Linked DNA regions of Canis lupus familiaris. The protein of the gene in region 1 purifies or fractionates together with the protein of each later gene. This does not show direct contact. Links are inferred from orthologs where the notes say so. Each region holds a gene or a part of one and is shown in the gene's direction. Other genes may lie near its edges.

Region 1 (5,955 bases):
GGGCCATGTCTCCTCTGTCTCTGGGGTGGTCCGTTGGGGACCCCAGTTTGCTTCTGCACAAAGCAGCGTCGTCCCCTCTGCCTTTGACTGGCCCCATTAACGCAGGCTGGCTGCCCACCTCGGTAGCCAGTATATGCTGCCTGGAAGGACGCCCCCCCCACCCCGAGCCCCTGATTAATGCCAGGAAAGGAGCTGTGGCTCTTTGTCACTGGGAACCTTTGATGCTCCTCTGGGAGGGGGGCAGGCGGAGAACAGCAGCCGCAGCTGTGTGACGCATCCCCAAGTCAGAGGCTCGCAGGCTGGGTTCGCGTGGGGAAACTCGCTGCCTTGCTTAGTGAGGAGGCCTCCTCTTCTTGTCTAGAGCTGAGAATGAAGCGGAGAGCATCGGACAGAGGAGCTGGGGAAACGTCGGCCAGGGCCAAGGCTCTAGGAGGTGGCATTTCCGGAAATAATGCAAAGAGAGCTGGACCGTTCATCCTGGGTAAGCCTCGGGGGGCTGGGGCGCGGGGGGCAGGTGCAGGGGGAGTGCCACAGCCCCCAGCGTGGGGCGGCCCGAGCCCTGCTGCTCTGAGTGTGGTCCCGCTGTGCCCGTGGGGGACCTGGAGCCTCAAGGTCCTGCTGCGCCCGAGTTGCCGTTGTTGCTGTAGCCTCCCCAGTCCCGACCAGCTCCAGCCAAGAGCTAGGCTGTTTCTTCCCCCAGAGCACCCCGTTTGCACCCGCCCCCCATGGCGCACAGGGGAGGCACACGAGCTGCATCAGAACCCACGGCCCATCATCCAAGGCACTCCTCTGGCCATCCTTGGAGGGCACAGTTCATTCCACCCGGCATCTGGTGCGGCCCTCCAGACTTCTTATATAAGGCACAGAAGTCCTGTGGAGTTGGGTGTGCCCTGTGGTCCACAAGAGCCGTAGGCCTTGGAGGCCCCAGGAACCAGGGTTGCTGTGCTCAGGGTGCAGGGGTGAAGTGGGCTCTGAGGACCCTGACCCTTCCATCAGCCGGAGACCCAGTGTGAATTTCGCCCTGAGGCGGCGTCTCAGACTCAGGGACACAGGGTGGCATCGGCCATGCGCCGGGCCTAGGCTGTTCGCTAGGGGCGCAGCCGTGGACAAGAAAGACCAGAACTGCCCGCAGAGAACTTAAGAGGCTATTGGGGGAAAGGAACAGGGTAAACAACGCACACGGTCACCAACAGGGCCGTAAGGGCCTTGAAGGAGGTAAACAAGACCATGTGAGACCAGGAAGGCCTGTCCGAGGACGGAGGTTTGGGCTGACAGCTGCAGAGCAGCCAGCCGTGGGGAATGCAGGGGAAAAGCATTCCACACAGAAGGAAGTGCAAAGGCGAAGGCCCAGAGGCAGGAAAGCGCTTCCCAAGTTAGTACGCAGGTGCCCTGTGTGGCTGGAGCATGGCCACGGGGCGGGGGGGGGGGGGGGGGACACGACACGTAACCAGGGAGGTGGGCAGGAACCAAGTCCTACCGGCCCTTGGCTGTATGTTAAGAGCAGTGACGCACGGTGAAGTGACACAGTGACCTCACGTGACTTCTGCTCTGAGCCCTGGGTGGGACGCTGGCAAGGGAAAAGGAGCATGGACATCTCTGAAGTACAGAAGCTCCCCGGCCTGTCCAAGGGGGGCCCGGCGGCCACCCCACGCTGCGAGGGGTCTCACCAAAGCTGTAGCGCCCCCGCCCCGCCCCCCCGCCCCGCCCTGGAGGTGCCGACTCAGGCTCCAGGTGGCCGCTGGGCCCCCTTCTGTGAACACGTGCTCCTCAGGTGCTGGTGCACACCCCTGTCGGAGACCCCCATGTTTGAGAAACATGCCCGTAGAAGCCAGGTGGACCTCGGGGGGTCGCACACACTCCTCCATGTTTGGAGGGGAGACTGTGGGGATCTCCCGGGAGACCTGGGGGCGGGGGCAGCTTGGTGGCCGTGAGCTGCTGTGGGGGGTGCAGAAAGACCACGTGGTCCACGAGACGCGGGGGGGTAGAAGTGAGCCCAGCTCTGTGTGCCGTAGGCCCTCGCCTGGGCAACTCCCCGGTGCCCAGCATCGTGCAGTGTTTGGCGAGGAAGGACGGCACGGATGACTTCTATCAGCTGAAGGTGAGTGAGGCGCCCTGGGTGGCCGCTGGCTGCTCTCCCCTCCCCAGCTTCACACCCACACCACCTGCAAACCAAAGTAGCAGCATTTCTTCCCGGGAAGTGCTCACTCGGGCTCACGCAGTCTCGCTGCGAACACGCCTGATTTCGAGAGCTCGATGAGCGAGAGTCACACTGCTGTCACGTTGAGAAAAGCCCTGCACATTGTGCGTGCCCGTGCGAGTGTGCGTGCAGGTGTCATGTACCAGACCTGAGCACCCCCCCAACCCCACCCCCGCCGCCCCGGCTCATCCTGTTCTAGTCAGCTTTGTAAAGTCAGGATTTTTTTTTTTTTTTTTTGGATTTTTGGCCTTTTTGCGTGTGTGCCTCCCTAAAGATCCTCACCCTTGAGGAGAGGGGGGACCAAGGAATAGAGAGCCAGGAGGAGAGGCAAGGCAAGATGCTGTTACACACCGAGTACTCTCTGCTCTCCCTCCTCCACACGCAGGACGGCGTGGTTCACCACCACGGGCTCTTCCAGGTGAGTGGCAGAGGGGCCATCCCCGGGGGGTGGGTCCCTCCAGCAGCCCGCCCGGCACGCCGGGTGCACCAGGACCTCCTGGGTGGGGGGCTGGAGGTCAGGCCTGGCCTCTCCTGCGGTAGCACTCGCGGCCTGCTGGGAGTGCCCCTTTCTTGGCAGGGTCACTTTCCTCAGAAAGGGGGAAAGCATGACGTTATGTCAATCCCGGGCCCTTTCCTGCCGTGTCAGGAGTGGGCCAGGCCAGGGTGGGAGGGGCGACGAGGAGGGACGTGCCCTGAGGGCCACCCGTGGATCCCTGGTTTGGGTGCCAGCCATCCTCCGGCCTGCCCAGGTATACCAGCTGTTGAGAAGTATCCCCGAGCCTCCTGCCCAGTGTGCCCGGATTCCCAGGTCCCATAGGGAAGGCACTAGTGAATAACTCCCAGCCCGAAGAGCCCTCCTCGGGGCTGAACCGACTTGGTGTCTCCAGAAATGAGGAAGGCCCGCATCAGGGCGCCCGGGAGGCCTCCCGCTCAGGCCCCCAGCAGAGCTTCCGCGGGGCCCCCAGCTAGACTCGCTGGCCAGGGCCACTCTCGCCAGATGGACCCGCACTCAGGAGGCACAGAGGTTCAGCGCCGGCGGCCCCAGATTCAGGCTGTGTGACCTGGGGCAAGTCACGTCCAGTCCCTAGGTTCCTCATCCGTAGAATGGAGGCAGTGACGGATGCCTGCCTTGCTCGCTCGCAGGGGGCTCGGGAGGGTGAGCATGCCTGTGCGCGGCCCGAGCTGTCCCTACGTGCTCATTGCACTTACTTGCCCATCAGCTTGAGTTCTTGGGTAAAATCGAGGCAAAATGCAACCCAACCCACCCCGACCCCACACGCCCTACCGAGGGCTTTATTGTTAGGTGTGCGATTAGAGCCAACTCTGAGAATCAGTGTTTCCCTTCCACGTGAAACCACACCGAGGGTGATGGGGAGTCCACAGTGCATGATCTCTGATGCCTGCCAGAGCTTGCCCCCCGCCCCCCGTATCATCTTGGATAACAGAACGTGGGTGATTAGAGCCCCCCGCAGTCCCCCAGAGCCAAGCATCGGTCTGCTGGGGATGACACTGAGCGTCTCCCTGAGCTGGCTCATCAGTAGGGGTTGTAGGTTTAGGCCCTACATTTGGTGTAGAGATTACTTTCTTAAAAATCTTAAAAAAAAAAAAAAAAAAAAGATGGGGATCCCTGGGTGGCTCAGTGGTTTAGTGCCTGCCTTCGGCCCAGGGCGTGATCCTGGAGTCCCGGGGATCAAGTCCCACATCAGGCTCCCTGCATTGAGCCTATTCCTCCCTCTGCCTGTGTCTCTGCCTCTCTCTCTCTGTGTCTCTCATGAATAAATAAATAAAATCTTAAAAAAGAAAGAAAGAAAGAAAAAAAAAAGAATGAAAGAAAGAAAAGAAAAAGAAATATCTTTTTGGCAAGGAAAATGGGCCCAACACATGCTGGTGGCAGGACCCACATCCTGAGCACAGGCACGGGTTGCTGTCTGCTCTGGACAGCCTGTGAGGGAGGGTGCTAGCTCCCTTTGACGGACAAGGGACCAAAGACTTAGAGAAGTGAGGTGAACTGCCCCCTGTCCCACAGCTGGAACAAGCCGGAGCCTGAACCCCAACAGACCCACGGTTCGCGGCTGCCCAGGGGTCCTGCATCTGTGTGAAAGCACTTGTCTTGGGCCCATGGGACACCTGACTTCTATTATCTCGGGACCTGGGTCACGACTGGAAGCCCTGGGCTTGCCACCCGCACCCTGGGCTCAGGCGTCCCTTTGGCATTTCATGCTCAGCCCCGATCCAAACCCCGTGCATCAGGACCAGATCACGAGGCATTTAATCTGAGGCCTCAGCTGGGCTGGGCCCTGGCACGGAGGAAGCCGGGTGTTCCGCAGTGGACCCCAGGTCCAGGCCCCAGGCCTCCAACTCTGGGTGGGGGGGGGCGTCCCGAGCCCCCAGCGCCGCTGGCCCCAGCCAAGCCTTGGTCTGCCCCTGCCTCGCAGGACCGCACCTGTGAAATCGTTGAGGACACGGAATCCAGCCGGATGGTTAAGAAGATGAAGAAGCGCATCTGCCTTGTCCTCGACTGCCTCTGTGCCCACGACTTCAGCGACAAGACTGCCGACCTGATCAACCTACAGCACTACGTCATCAAGGAGAAGCGGCTCAGTGAGCGGGAGACCGTGGTCATCTTTTACGACGTGGTGCGCGTCGTGGAGGCCCTGCACCAGGTGACGTCTGCCCTTCTGCACGTCCTCCGCCGCTGGCTGGCCTATCCTGGCTCCCGGTGACGGAGGGGCCTCCAGGCCCTGCAGCCGTGGAAGGCCACCCTCGTGCTGCTGCTCAGTGCAAGCAGCTCCGGCCCCGCAACCTCCCCTGGTGTGCTGCACAGCCACAGCAGCCTGCAGGAAAGTGGCTGGGTGACCTGAGCACCCACAGAGGCACAGGGCTGCCCGGGCGGCCCAGCAGGGCCCAGGAGGCAGCTGCCCGGCTGTCTAGAGGCTGCCCCGTAGCCTCCCAGCAGAGGGGATGACAGTGAGGCCTCGGGGCAGCCCCCGCCTGTCTCTGAGCTCCTCCTAGGGTTGGGGTGTCAGGCACCCCGAGGTACAGGGGAGGAGAGCCAGGGCCTCTTCTGGGCACGCAACTCCTTGGGCAGAACCTGTACTCTTCGAGCACCAGAGCTGTGACGGTTCCTCTCTGACAGCAGATCCAGGCAGATGCTAGTGGCTTTGTCAGGATGTTTGCTGGAGGGGGAGTGAGGACTGGTTTTCCCCACCAGCTGCTGCCCTGAGGGGAGAAAGCTGGGGAAGCCACCCCGAGAGGGGCGGAGACCGCCTGGGCTCACCTATTGCCCCATCCCTAGCCGTGGTTGGGGAGGCCTCGGGTGGCTGAGCAGTCCAGGCCTGAGCCGACGAGACAGAGTCTTCCCTGCCTTCCCAAACACCCGGAGAGCCCACGTGTGACAGGTTGGGCCCCACCCGGGCTCTGTCGTCCCCGGTCCGAACCATGTGCCTGTTGCTCTTCCAGAAAAACATCGTGCACAGGGACCTGAAGCTTGGAAACATGGTGCTCAATAAAAGGTAAGAGTCTCTTCAACGATGTAACCTCGGAGCTGGCACAGGCTACCTGCCACAACTACCCAGCGCCCCCAGGTCCCCCGGAAATCCCAGGGGTGGGGGATGGGATGCCTGCCTCTGCCCTTTGCCGCATGGGAATAAGGTGCTTGCTTACAAGGGGCATCTTAGGGCCTTCTGAGTGGCTCTGTCAGTTGAGTGTCTGACTCTTGAGCTCGGCTTGCGTGTGATCTCAGGGCCATGAGTTCATGC
Region 2 (5,955 bases), on another chromosome or scaffold:
CCCACTGAGCACAGAGCCCAAGGCAGGGCTTGATCTCAAGACCCTGAGGTCACAACCAAGAATCAGATGCTTTATTTAGCCAACTGTGTACCCAGGCACCCCTAAAAAGTTAAGTTTTAGTATAAGAGTTAAGAATGAGCTAGCTAATGCAGGTGAGTAATAACCTTTGTTGAAAAAAGAGAGCTATCTTGAATAACAGGGTAGCAACAGAAGAAATAGTAAACTTATTGACTTGCTTATTTATATCCTCAAATCAATTCTTTTGACAATTAGCATTTTTATTTATATGGTAATTTTCTCCCTGCATTGTCTTAGGCTGTTATTTTAATAAGCTAGTGTTTAAACTTTTTTCTTAAAACATGATAGTTTGAAAATGACCTATTAACTTTTACTTGCACAACACTATAATGCTGATTTATTAGCCATATATGTTTGTATGTGGAGTAAAAGTATCTAGATTGAAGTTTCAGCCATACCCAAACTTTCTCAGTAAAGGATAGGATTTCAGTTCTGAGAACTCTTCTTTGCCAGACACAGTAATATTTCTCCTTCCGTGGCATTACACTATGGGTATAAATTGAATCAGGATAGATAAGTAGTTGCCATCAATATAACTGTGCTACATTAGAATCCATAGGGCAGATAACAGCTGAACCAGCAGTTCAGTTATGGTTGTTGTAAAGAGAAATTCATTGCTTTGCCATGTAGTTCTATTTTATTGGAGGGAATATTTGCTGATTTGTGCTATAGCCCATAACATTTAATGAAATTGTTATAACATTAAGAAAGGATTTAAAGCTATAAGAAAAGTGCACATCTCAATGTGTTTTTATACAAAATATTCATATTATGTACCTTTTATTCATCATCATCATTAGCTTGGTAAGCTTTTAACTAAATTATTAACTAATCATTAACTGTTCTGCAAAAGGATATCACAAGTAACCCAGAAAGAAAAGTGTAGGTATTTATACACATTGAGTGAATGCTTGATATATGCAGAGTACTACCATATCATCCTAGCCACTTAAAGGCTTACTAACTTTAGGCAAATTGCTTCACCTCTAATTCTCAGTTTTCTTGTGTGTAAAATGTAGATAAAGGTAATACCTGTCTCGTAGGGCTATTATGAGAATTAAATAAATTAATACCAGTGGTTATGCTTAGTGGTCAGTGAATGTTAGCTGTTACTATTGTGTAATTAATTATAGATCAGTGAGAATTCTTATCTAGCCTTACAGCTAAGCTTCTAGAACAGATTCTTAACTTCTTGAGAAATACGTGATAATTCATTTCACTCTTATTTCCATTAGGTTACTTATATTTCTTGCTGGTTATATAACAACTTTGTTGAGACTCCAAGTTAAGTTCAATAAAGGTGAATAAGGTGTGCTTTGCTTTGAAGTATCTTATTTTGGAACTTGTGTAAAAAGTCAGTAAGAGAAGGATGAATTCCCCAAGTAACCCTAAAAAAGGAGATTTTTAGTTTTTCCCTTTTTTGTGGTGTAAGAAACTATTGGGAGTTACATAAGTTAGATCATCTTTGGGAGGTGAGAAATGAGTTTGGGAAAACATAGTGATAAGTTAATGATTCCATTTTTGTGTATATTTCATACCTTTGTCATCATCTTTTCTTTAATTGCTTCAGTAATTCAGTTTGTGTACTAATTTATTAAAATAACATTGCATACTGGGAAGTTCTGTCATCCTCACAAAATGGTAGCAGGGAAATAGATTTATGAAGAGATTATTTGGTAATTCTCTTCTAACATATTTTTTAATATACCAAACCTTTTCATCTTTCCTTGCTACTTTTATAATTCAACTTGTTAATCTTTATAGTTGGGTAGGTTTTAATATGGTTTACTAAAGATGAATTGAAAAACATGTGATGTTTCTAGGAACTGGGGGGTAGCTATAAGAATTGTGTAGCTATGCACAGTTCTCTACCACTTGTAATGTGGTATGTCTTGATCATGACTTTATCTGAACATAAAGTCTAGTACAATTTGGGGGCATTTCAAGTCAATCTCTTATTCTTATAGACATTTTGACTTTAGAAATAGAAAAAAAACCCCTGAAATGTTGTCATTGTAATGTCACAGGGATAGGGAAATAGTCTTACTAACTAAATACACATTTTCTTCCATAGTATTGAATTTGACCGAGATTGTGACTATTTTGCAATTGCTGGGGTTACAAAGAAGATTAAAGTCTATGAATATGGCACAGTCATTCAGGATGCGGTGGATATTCATTACCCTGAAAATGAAATGACCTGCAATTCCAAAATCAGGTACTTAGGTTATTTTTTTTAGACATAATGTGTGTATAAAATATTTAATATCTATAGTTAGTATGAGTTTGTTATTTTACCTTTCTGTGAGATTCCTTACTCATTCATAGTGAACAGTAATTGTATACAGAGAATACTTCAGAATCTATCTTACAGATTATGGTTGCTTTTTCCCTGTGGGGGTTAGTAGTCATTGTTTTTCTCTTTGACAAATGAAAGTCCTCTTTGCTTCACTTAAATAAAATTATGTGTTGTAAATGATCATCCAGGGGGTGTTGAATAAGGGATTACTTTAGCCTATGTATACTGTCTGAAAGTCAGGAAAAATTCCTGACCCATTCCTAGCATGTCATATCTTCACATATTATAATTGTTTATAGTTTTAAGAATTGTTTTAAGAAAAAAAAGAATTGTTTTTATAAGAACATTTTGCTGCTTTTCATTGAGGGCCTAATATTTAACTTTCATAGGTTAGGGTTAGAGCTCATAATGAATGCTTTTCAAATCTAGAGTACTGTTAAAAGTGCAGGAACTAGAAATTACTTTAGATCTGCCAATCCCAAAATCTCAGGGGAATTTTATAATCTACATTTTTAAAAACAAGTTTCCTAAGCTATTCTCATGGGTGCTGGCTTAAATTGGAATGATGCATGGAAATCATTTAATAATTTATTTATATCTGTGAACATTTTCCAACTGTCCTTGTATCTTTTTTTAACTGAATTAACATACATATATGTGTGTAGTCATTTTAATAATGTTAATAATTTAGCAAGTATTACAGTATTTATATAATGTATTTGTTATAGCTTTCCTTTTTCTTTCCTAATTAATTCATAACAATGGTAGGCTGATAATTTGTGAGGCTGCTCATTCATCAGTGGTGCTCACAACTGAGAATCTGTTATAGTTTATCCTAAGTGGAAAGAAAACAGCACGAGTAAGACATAACTTTATTGAATTCCTATGTGACAGACATTATCTTTATCTTAAGTAGACCTATTAGATACTGTTATTGCCCAATCTTAGACACGAGGAAGCTGAAGCACAGAAAGGTTAATTAACTTGATTGAAATCACACAGCTAGTCTCTGGAGGAGCCAGGATTCAAACAGTTTGATTGCAGAGTCTCTGCTTTTAACCATTATGAAACAGAGGGCATAGTAGCAATCCTTATTTTATAAGATTACACTTTTTTTTTAAGGAGAATGAGCAGGGAAGGACAGAGGGAGAGAGAATCTCAAGCAGGTTCCACATCCAGCACAGAGCCCAACGTGAGGCTTAATTTCATACCCTGAGATTATGACCTGAAGTCAAAAGTCATCTAGGTTAATTGCTTTCTAAGTGGCTTCTTCCTTAATATACCTAAGCTTTACTATATATACATGATTCACATATGTGTCTCACCAAAAGCATACATTTTTAGATGTTGTATTCTCAGTTTTGGAGCACTTAATAGCTGAAACCATAAATGGTAAAAGCTTAATTCTGACTCTTAAAATCAATCCTAAGGTTATAGTAGATGAGATTTTTTTTTAGATGAGATTTTTTTAATGTAAACACAGAAACCCAATTCAGATTAGCTTGCTTGCTTGCTTGCTTGCTTGCTTGCTTGTTTGTTTGTTTATTTATTTATTTATTTATTTATTTATTTATTTATTTATTTTCAAAAAAGATCTTATTTATTCCTGAGAGACACACAGACTGAGGCCGAGACGTAGAGGGAGAAGCAAGCGCCCTGCAGGGAACCCAATGCGGGACTCAGTCCCAGGACCCGAGGATCATACCCTGAGGTGAAGGGAGATGCTCAACCACTGAGCCACCCAGGTGCCCCCCCAGTTCAGATTAGTTTATTAACTTATACGTTTTGGCACAACTTGATCCAGGGGCCTACACAATTTGAATACGTCTCTGTCATTGTGCTATGGCATGCTTTGTGTCCCATTAGCCTCTGTTTACACTCATAGACATGCTTTCATTTCTGACATTTGGCCAGTGGTGGCTTTAGGCTTATGTGCATCTTTTGGTTAGTGATCAGAGTGAGTAGTGGTGTAAGGGTCATTATTAGGTAGTTCAGTAGAAAAACTTAGGAGTTAATTGATATATTTCTTCCCAGCTGTGTTGTGGGCAGATTAATGATTATGAAGCCATGTTGACCATTTCTTAAGGGTTCTAATCTTTCTGCACACATCAAAATTCTTTGTATTCATTGTTACTTATTTCTACATAAAGTAAAGCTTAACTCTCTTTCTTTCTTTCAGCTGTATCAGTTGGAGTAGTTACCATAAGAATCTGTTAGCCAGCAGTGATTATGAAGGCACTGTCATCCTATGGGATGGATTCACAGGACAGAGGTCAAAGGTCTATCAGGTAAATAGGATATTATTTTTTTTTAAGGTTCACATTTTTACTTAATTGTAATTACAAATGTAGCCACTATTTAGCAATTTTATACCTATGTATAGCAAATAATGCTTTTAATTACAAATTTAAAGTCACTATTTAGCATTTTTTATACCTATGTAATAGCAGATAATGCTTTTCTAAAACATTTCTTCAGACTTGTTTTGCATTTGAAGAATGTGTCAAATGCATTTCCAAAAGCAATAAAATATGTATATATAAAAAGCCTGGAAATTACTTTGCATCTCATTTGTTTTTGTAGCCTGTTCTTTCTCTCTCCCACCAGAGCAATAAATTGGTATCAAGCTTTTTGCTTAATTTCTTATAAGATCTATGTCTGTCTGATACTACTTTTTGTCTTCCTTCTATGTCTAGGAACATGAGAAAAGGTGTTGGAGTGTTGACTTTAACTTAATGGATCCTAAACTCTTGGCATCGGGTTCTGATGATGCAAAAGGTACTATTTGAATCTCTTCTACTTTCTCTAATTCCTTACTCCCAACTTAATTCCTTTTAGTGGCAGAGGTGCAGATATTTATTAGAAATCATAGCAATCCTTTGTGATTATCATTCTAAAAATAATCTAAGCACCACAATCTATCTCTTTTGGAGTGAAAGAAAAATGTATATACTACATCTTCATTATAATAATTTTCTCTGGATTCATGTCATATGGTGATATTTTTATAACCAATTCCTTTATATATACCATCAAGTAAACTTTTTTTCTGAAATATTTAGACAGATATCTCTTTTCTAAAAAAATTTTTATTATTTATTCATGAGAGACATAGTGAGACAAGCAGAGACATAGGCAGAGGGAGAAGCAGGCTTCCCCGCAGGGAGTCTAGTGCAGAGGACTAGATCCCATGACCCCAGGACTCCAGGATCATGACCTGAGCCAAAGGCAGATGCTCAACCACTGAGCCACCCAGGTGTCCCCAATACATCTCTGTGTATCCATCATTACTATTCATTTTTTTTCAGTTATCCTTAATGTTTTTTTGGCCTGGTTATGCTCACCATTAGATTTATAAAGCCCTGTTAACAGATTTCTTTTACCTTATAGTTAATGGTTTTAATTTTTTGCCATTCTTTTTTTTTTTTTTTTTTAAAGATTTTATTTATTCATTCATGAGAGACACAGAGAAGCAGAGATAGAGGCAGAGGGAGAAGCAGGCTCTATGCAAGGAGCCCGATGTGGGACTTGATCCCTGGACTCCAGGATCACGCCCTGAAGCCAAAGGCAGACGCTAA
Region 3 (5,411 bases), on another chromosome or scaffold:
TTCCCGGGCGCTGGGGCGCCGGGGCTCAGAGCGGTTTGGGGAAGATGGGGGGTGGGGGGGGGGGGGGGGGGGGCGGAGCGGCTCAGAGATTCATCTAGCCGGGGCCGGGGCAGCCAGGCCTCAGAGGTGGGGTGGGTCTGGCCATTGTGCAACCCCTTCCAGTTCCTCTGAGCAGATAATAGCTGAATCCAGATGGTGACAGCCCATGTGTCACCGTTTCCAGTTGAGTCTAGGATATGAGTAACCGGACTAAACAAAAGGCCCTTAAAGAGACCAGCTAGCTTCTGAGAGGAGAGACTACCCATTTCCCTGGTGAAGGTGGAGGGTGGGAGCTCTGTGCCCCCCACCCCCCCACCTCGGGGTGGGGTGGTGCTGGAGATAAACAAACAAATGTAAAAACCATACAGAACATCCCATATCCTGTGCTAATTTTAACTCAAGGCCGTTTCTACCTGAGTCAGACTGTATAGGCAGGTTGTTTAAGGCTCTGTTGTCACAGTCTTTCTGCGAGTCATCTGTTCCTTCTGACTAATGACAGATCTGCATGTTCCCCAGCCCCTGCTTCCACTCGGAGGCTGCAGAGTCACCACATTCTGTGCTCTCTGTGGTGAGAGCTTTGGGTCTGCAGGGGGTCATGCATTTTCAGCTCCTGGAGATCCCGGGAGGGGTGGGGGGGTGGGGCTTCCTGCAGCTACTTGCAGCAGCCCCCACCTGCAAACAAGGAAGGGCCACATAGGGTGCGAGCTTTAGGGCTCAGCCCCCGTGAAAGGAGGCGACATATATAGAAGACAGCTCTTTTAAACCATCCGTAGAGTAACCCAGTGGGCATCTGCTAGCCAGAGCCCTCTATGTTGCTGGTTTGGGGTGTTAGAGGCAGCTGAGGCTTCTTGCATAAGGTGTGGGGTGGTGGTGGTGGTGCAGAGATAAATGAAGGGAGCCGTACTGTCAACCCAAGGCCGAAGGCCGAGAGCTGCAGTCCGGCATTCAGGAGGCAGCCTCTGCTTTTCTAGCTTCCTAAATGGGGTCACCGTCTCTCTGCAGGTGTTTCCTATTAAACACTACCAGGACAAAATCAGGCCTTACATCCAGCTGCCGTCACACAGGAACATCACTGGCATTGTGGAAGTGATCCTTGGGGAAACCAAGGCCTATGTCTTCTTTGAGAAGGACTTTGGGGACATGCACTCCTATGTGCGAAGCCGGAAGAGGCTGCGGGAAGAGGAGGCTGCCCGGCTCTTCAAGCAGATTGTTTCCGCCGTTGCCCACTGCCATCAGTCGGCCATCGTGCTCGGGGACCTGAAACTTAGGAAATTCGTCTTCTCCACGGAGGAGAGGTGAGCAGCCTTCGCAGCTCCTCCTGTGGCCTTGCGGGGCAGGTTAAGCGGTTAGGTACAGAGTGTTGGTTCGCATCAGAGCCAAGGGCTCGGTTGTCCCAGAATGAGTATTTAGAAAGGCCGCTCCCCAGGAGCCACGGCCAAGGATGGCTTATTCTGCACTGTCGTGGATGTGGCCCCGGGACACCTTGGTGCTTCTTTCTGTGGGATGTCACATGATGACAGGATGCCCTCCCCACTTCCACTCCAGGATCAAGTTTATCCCCATTGTTATCAGAAAGGTCAGTTCTTCTCGGGTAACAGATGGTCAGTCCGGCCTCACCGCATTGACTCCTAAAGGAAGTTTTCAAATCCTGGCTTCTACCAAGCGGGGAGCTTTTTAATTTTTTTTTTTTTTTTGTACCTAAAAAGTATGACAGAGCTAAACTGTTGGATTAGCCCTATTCTGCTCTCCTCCTTTGTACCCTACTCCTGTTCCACTTTGGGCTGGCCCCCAGTACTGCTCTTCACATTCTCTGATGACTTTTCAGACCTCTTGTTTGGATACATCTTGAGAAAGTAGCCACATTGAATAATAAATGGATGTTGGCTGGAATTGGTTCCTAAATATAGATGGTGACTTTCCCTCATAAAGGACAAGATGAGCTTGATAAGAGAATAACGAGACGCTAGGATTCAGAGTTGAGGTTTCAGGCAAGGGAATTCAGGAAGCCGCGGGGAATAGACCTTACTTGACTTTAAGAGGTGGGCCGGATCTCTTCTGGAAAGATAAGGAGGGAAAAACCCCCTGTAGAATTGTGGAGGGGTGTGTATTATTTTGTTGCAGTTATTTGTGTGTGTGTGGGGGGGCTGCCCCCAGCTGTGCATTTTTACCCTTGCCTCCAGATCCGTAGGAAAGAGTACAGGGTTGAGTTGCCATAAAGCATAGCTTTATATCTGACCTTGCAAAACTTATTGGAACATAACCGATTAGCAAAGAAAAGCAAAGTATTTGCAATGGAGAAGTTTCCAATTCCTGGAACATGCTCCTTTGATATGTTGATGTATTTTCTGAAACATGCCTTACACACCTCCTTTACTAGCTTTTGAAATCCGCATTGCACAGGCGAATGTCATGTGCACGGGGTTTGGCAACCCGAGGGTTAAGCAATGGCAGGCTGACGCTAGCCGGGGAACCAGCACAGGTGCAGGGTTTTAGTACTACAGCAGCCAATCAGGGGCAGACAGTGTGGGTTGAGTCATATTTTCCGTTTACAGAACCAATGGGTATTTTACATAACGACGGGGAGGTCAGGCTGAGGACATACGAAGTTAGCACATGTATACTACACTCCAGGGAACAGGAAGGCAGGAAGAAAAAAAAAAAAAAACACAACCAGACCTTTGAGAGGAAAAGAAATTGACCCATTAGCCAGCACCAAATGTTTGCCTTTGACTTCACAACAAGTGACTTACTGAAACAGGGCTATTTCAGAGAAGCAGGGAGGGGCACGGTCTGCCACCAGATGATAGAGGTTCCCCACAAGGCTCTGGGCTTTGGGGGACCCATGACCTATGGGTAGGTGCGTCTGAATAAGGAGGCACCTGCAGCTTCAGAAGAGAGCCTCTGCCTAAAGATTTTTTTCAGAGCCCCATATAGAAGATAAGCCCCCCCATGAAGGAGATAAACCCCCCATGAAGGAGATAAACCCCCCCCCATGTAGAAGATAACCCCCCATGTAGGAGATAACCCCCCCATGTAGGGGATAAAACCCCCCATGTAGAAGATAAACCCTCTATGTAGAAGATAAACCCCCCCATGTAGGAGATAGCCCCCCATGTGGAAGATAAACCTCCACAAAGAAGAAATAGGTTCAGGTGTCGATGTGCCATCCGTGGGTACGGATGTTCGGAGGCCCCGCATCCTTCAAATCCACCAGCCACTTCTGATTGCCCGTATAACCTCCAGGTCCCGGCTAAGTGTTCTTTGCAATGAAACACCCCAATAAATGTAATTAACATTCCTGGCACCTTTCCCGTCACGGTTATCGTGCCCTGGGCTCAGGTAGACAGAGTTCCCTGTGTGTGTCTATCACGCAGGCGTGAGCAGGAGTGCTGACAACGTGAGCATGATAGCCTTGACTCTGGGCCTCGTGTTCTGTAATGCGGAAGGGGGGCCCATGTAGCCCCAGCAGTCAGTGGCACGAGAAGAAGATGGGCCTGTAGGATGCTCAGCTCCCCCCCCCCCCCCACCGCCCCAGAAGGAGGGATATACTGTTCTTCCCTGACAGCTTCTGTATAAAAATGTCAGCATTCCCCTGAGACAAGCTCCCACTTCTGCAATGTGAACTTTGTAAGTTGTGTAACCCTATTAGGATATCTCTTCTAAGCTCTAGCCTAATGAATAGTATTTGGGGCTTTGCATCATACCCTCCGCCCCAGGCGCTCTTGATACTTTGCGAATGTTTATTGCAGTTTGTATTGGTTTGTGAAATCCTGAGTCCTGGGTGGTTGCAGGGCCCTGCTTAGTGGATGAAGGGGTAAATGGCATTCCTTGGGCCTTTGCTTTTAGTGCCTGTGGGTGCTGTTATAGAGGAGGCTTTGTTTTTTCATAGCAGCCGATCTGGAAGTAATAGCTTGTTTCCTCTCCTGCAGAAGCCAGCTCAGACTGGAAAGTCTAGAAGACACACACATAATCAAGGGGGAAGACGATGCTCTGTCAGACAAGCACGGCTGCCCGGCCTACGTGAGCCCTGAGATTCTGAACACCACGGGGACCTACTCCGGAAAGGCGGCAGACGTTTGGAGCCTAGGGGTGATGCTCTACACCCTTTTGGTGGGACGATACCCCTTCCATGACTCAGATCCCAGTGCCCTCTTCTCCAAAATCCGACGTGGACAGTTCTGCATTCCTGACCACATTTCCCCCAAAGCCAGGTGCCTCATTCGCAGCCTCCTGAGACGGGAGCCCTCCGAGAGACTCACTGCCCCGGAGATCTTACTCCATCCCTGGTTTGAGTCTGTCTTGGAACCTGGATACGTTGACTCAGAAATGGGAACTTCAGACCAGATTGTTCCAGACTACCAAGAGGACAGTGACATTAGTTCCTTCTTCTGCTAATCCCCAAACCTCAGAAACCTCATAATTCTCACACATGGCATTTCCATTTCTAAAGATGGACAGGCCTTTCGGCGTGGTGCCAACCAGATACGTGATGGCGTAAAGCTGGTAGCTGCTGAACTCGACGTGGCACCCCCTCTTACCTGTTGTGACGAGTGACTGTATTGATCTGAGCAGCACACATTCGGATCGATCGGCCGCCCTGCAAAGTCGTTTCCCTTCTCAACGAACCCTGGCCGGCTGTCTCGAACCCTGGCCCGCTGTCTCGCTGTCAGATGGGGCGGGGCGGGGGTGGGGGTTCCTGCATCTTCAGGGGTGGCAAAGAGTATGGATATCCTACAGCGTGTGGCCAAGTGAAATGGACGTGAACATTTTAAAGGGAGAGGAAGTGAGTCGCACAGTGGCGTTTTGGGCAATAACCATATTTTAACAGGGTGACAAATCACGTTGGCCAATAAACCTGCCATCTTTGACCTTGTCTCTGGGAGCTAGACTGTCGCTCCCCCGGCTTCTCTCTTGGAAAGTTCTTGGTTTGGTTTGGTTTAATACGCACCCTTCCTTCACACTCACCTCTCCCAGTGACCCTGCGCCCCCGTCGTCGTCGGAGCGGACTTTTTGAGGAGCAGAGGAGCCTGCACCACGAACCCAGACGCTCTCCTCCATTTCCTGCCAAGACCTCATTTGCACTAATGCCTTCCTTCTGACCTTGAAACGGCTCCTTCTCTGCTCTCCAAGCACTTACCAGCTAACCGTGGAGAAGTATCACAAAAGATTTGAACTCCTGGCTGTTTCAGAAACTCTGAGCTCAGACTGAGGGACTTGGAGATTGTTTAAAGTCAATTTGAGCACTTGGAAACCGTTAGCTCTGTTGGGTCAGCAGTTTACCCTTTGTTCCCAAGACCATCTCAGGGTGGAACATTCTGTCTAGGAGGAGAAAGATAAGGAGAGGCCCTCCACGCCTCTCCCGAGAGTGAATG

Evidence for each region.
Region 2: the proteins of STK40 (region 1) and COP1 purify together in Homo sapiens (affinity purification with mass spectrometry; 3 studies listed by BioGRID and IntAct, counting the BioPlex papers as one, with this or other methods). This does not show direct contact. The link is inferred for Canis lupus familiaris from reciprocal best matches to the Homo sapiens genes STK40 and COP1.
Region 3: the proteins of STK40 (region 1) and TRIB1 purify together in Homo sapiens (affinity purification with mass spectrometry; 3 studies listed by BioGRID and IntAct, counting the BioPlex papers as one, with this or other methods). This does not show direct contact. The link is inferred for Canis lupus familiaris from reciprocal best matches to the Homo sapiens genes STK40 and TRIB1.

The regions. Positions count from the first base shown.
Region 1 is NC_049236.1:5,987,561-5,993,515, forward strand, and holds part of STK40 (serine/threonine-protein kinase 40), read left to right. Parts: intron 1-361; coding exon 362-481; intron 482-2,012; coding exon 2,013-2,098; intron 2,099-2,471; coding exon 2,472-2,615; intron 2,616-4,632; coding exon 4,633-4,860; intron 4,861-5,656; coding exon 5,657-5,709; intron 5,710-5,955. UniProt on the Homo sapiens protein: May be a negative regulator of NF-kappa-B and p53-mediated gene transcription.
Region 2 is NC_049228.1:23,348,378-23,354,332, forward strand, and holds part of COP1 (E3 ubiquitin-protein ligase COP1), read left to right. Parts: intron 1-2,152; coding exon 2,153-2,296; intron 2,297-4,556; coding exon 4,557-4,665; intron 4,666-5,073; coding exon 5,074-5,155; intron 5,156-5,955. UniProt on the Homo sapiens protein: E3 ubiquitin-protein ligase that mediates ubiquitination and subsequent proteasomal degradation of target proteins.
Region 3 is NC_049234.1:23,757,675-23,763,085, forward strand, and holds part of TRIB1 (tribbles homolog 1), read left to right. Parts: intron 1-1,041; coding exon 1,042-1,334; intron 1,335-3,968; coding exon 3,969-4,434; 3' UTR 4,435-5,411. UniProt on the Homo sapiens protein: Adapter protein involved in protein degradation by interacting with COP1 ubiquitin ligase. The COP1-binding motif is masked by autoinhibitory interactions with the protein kinase domain.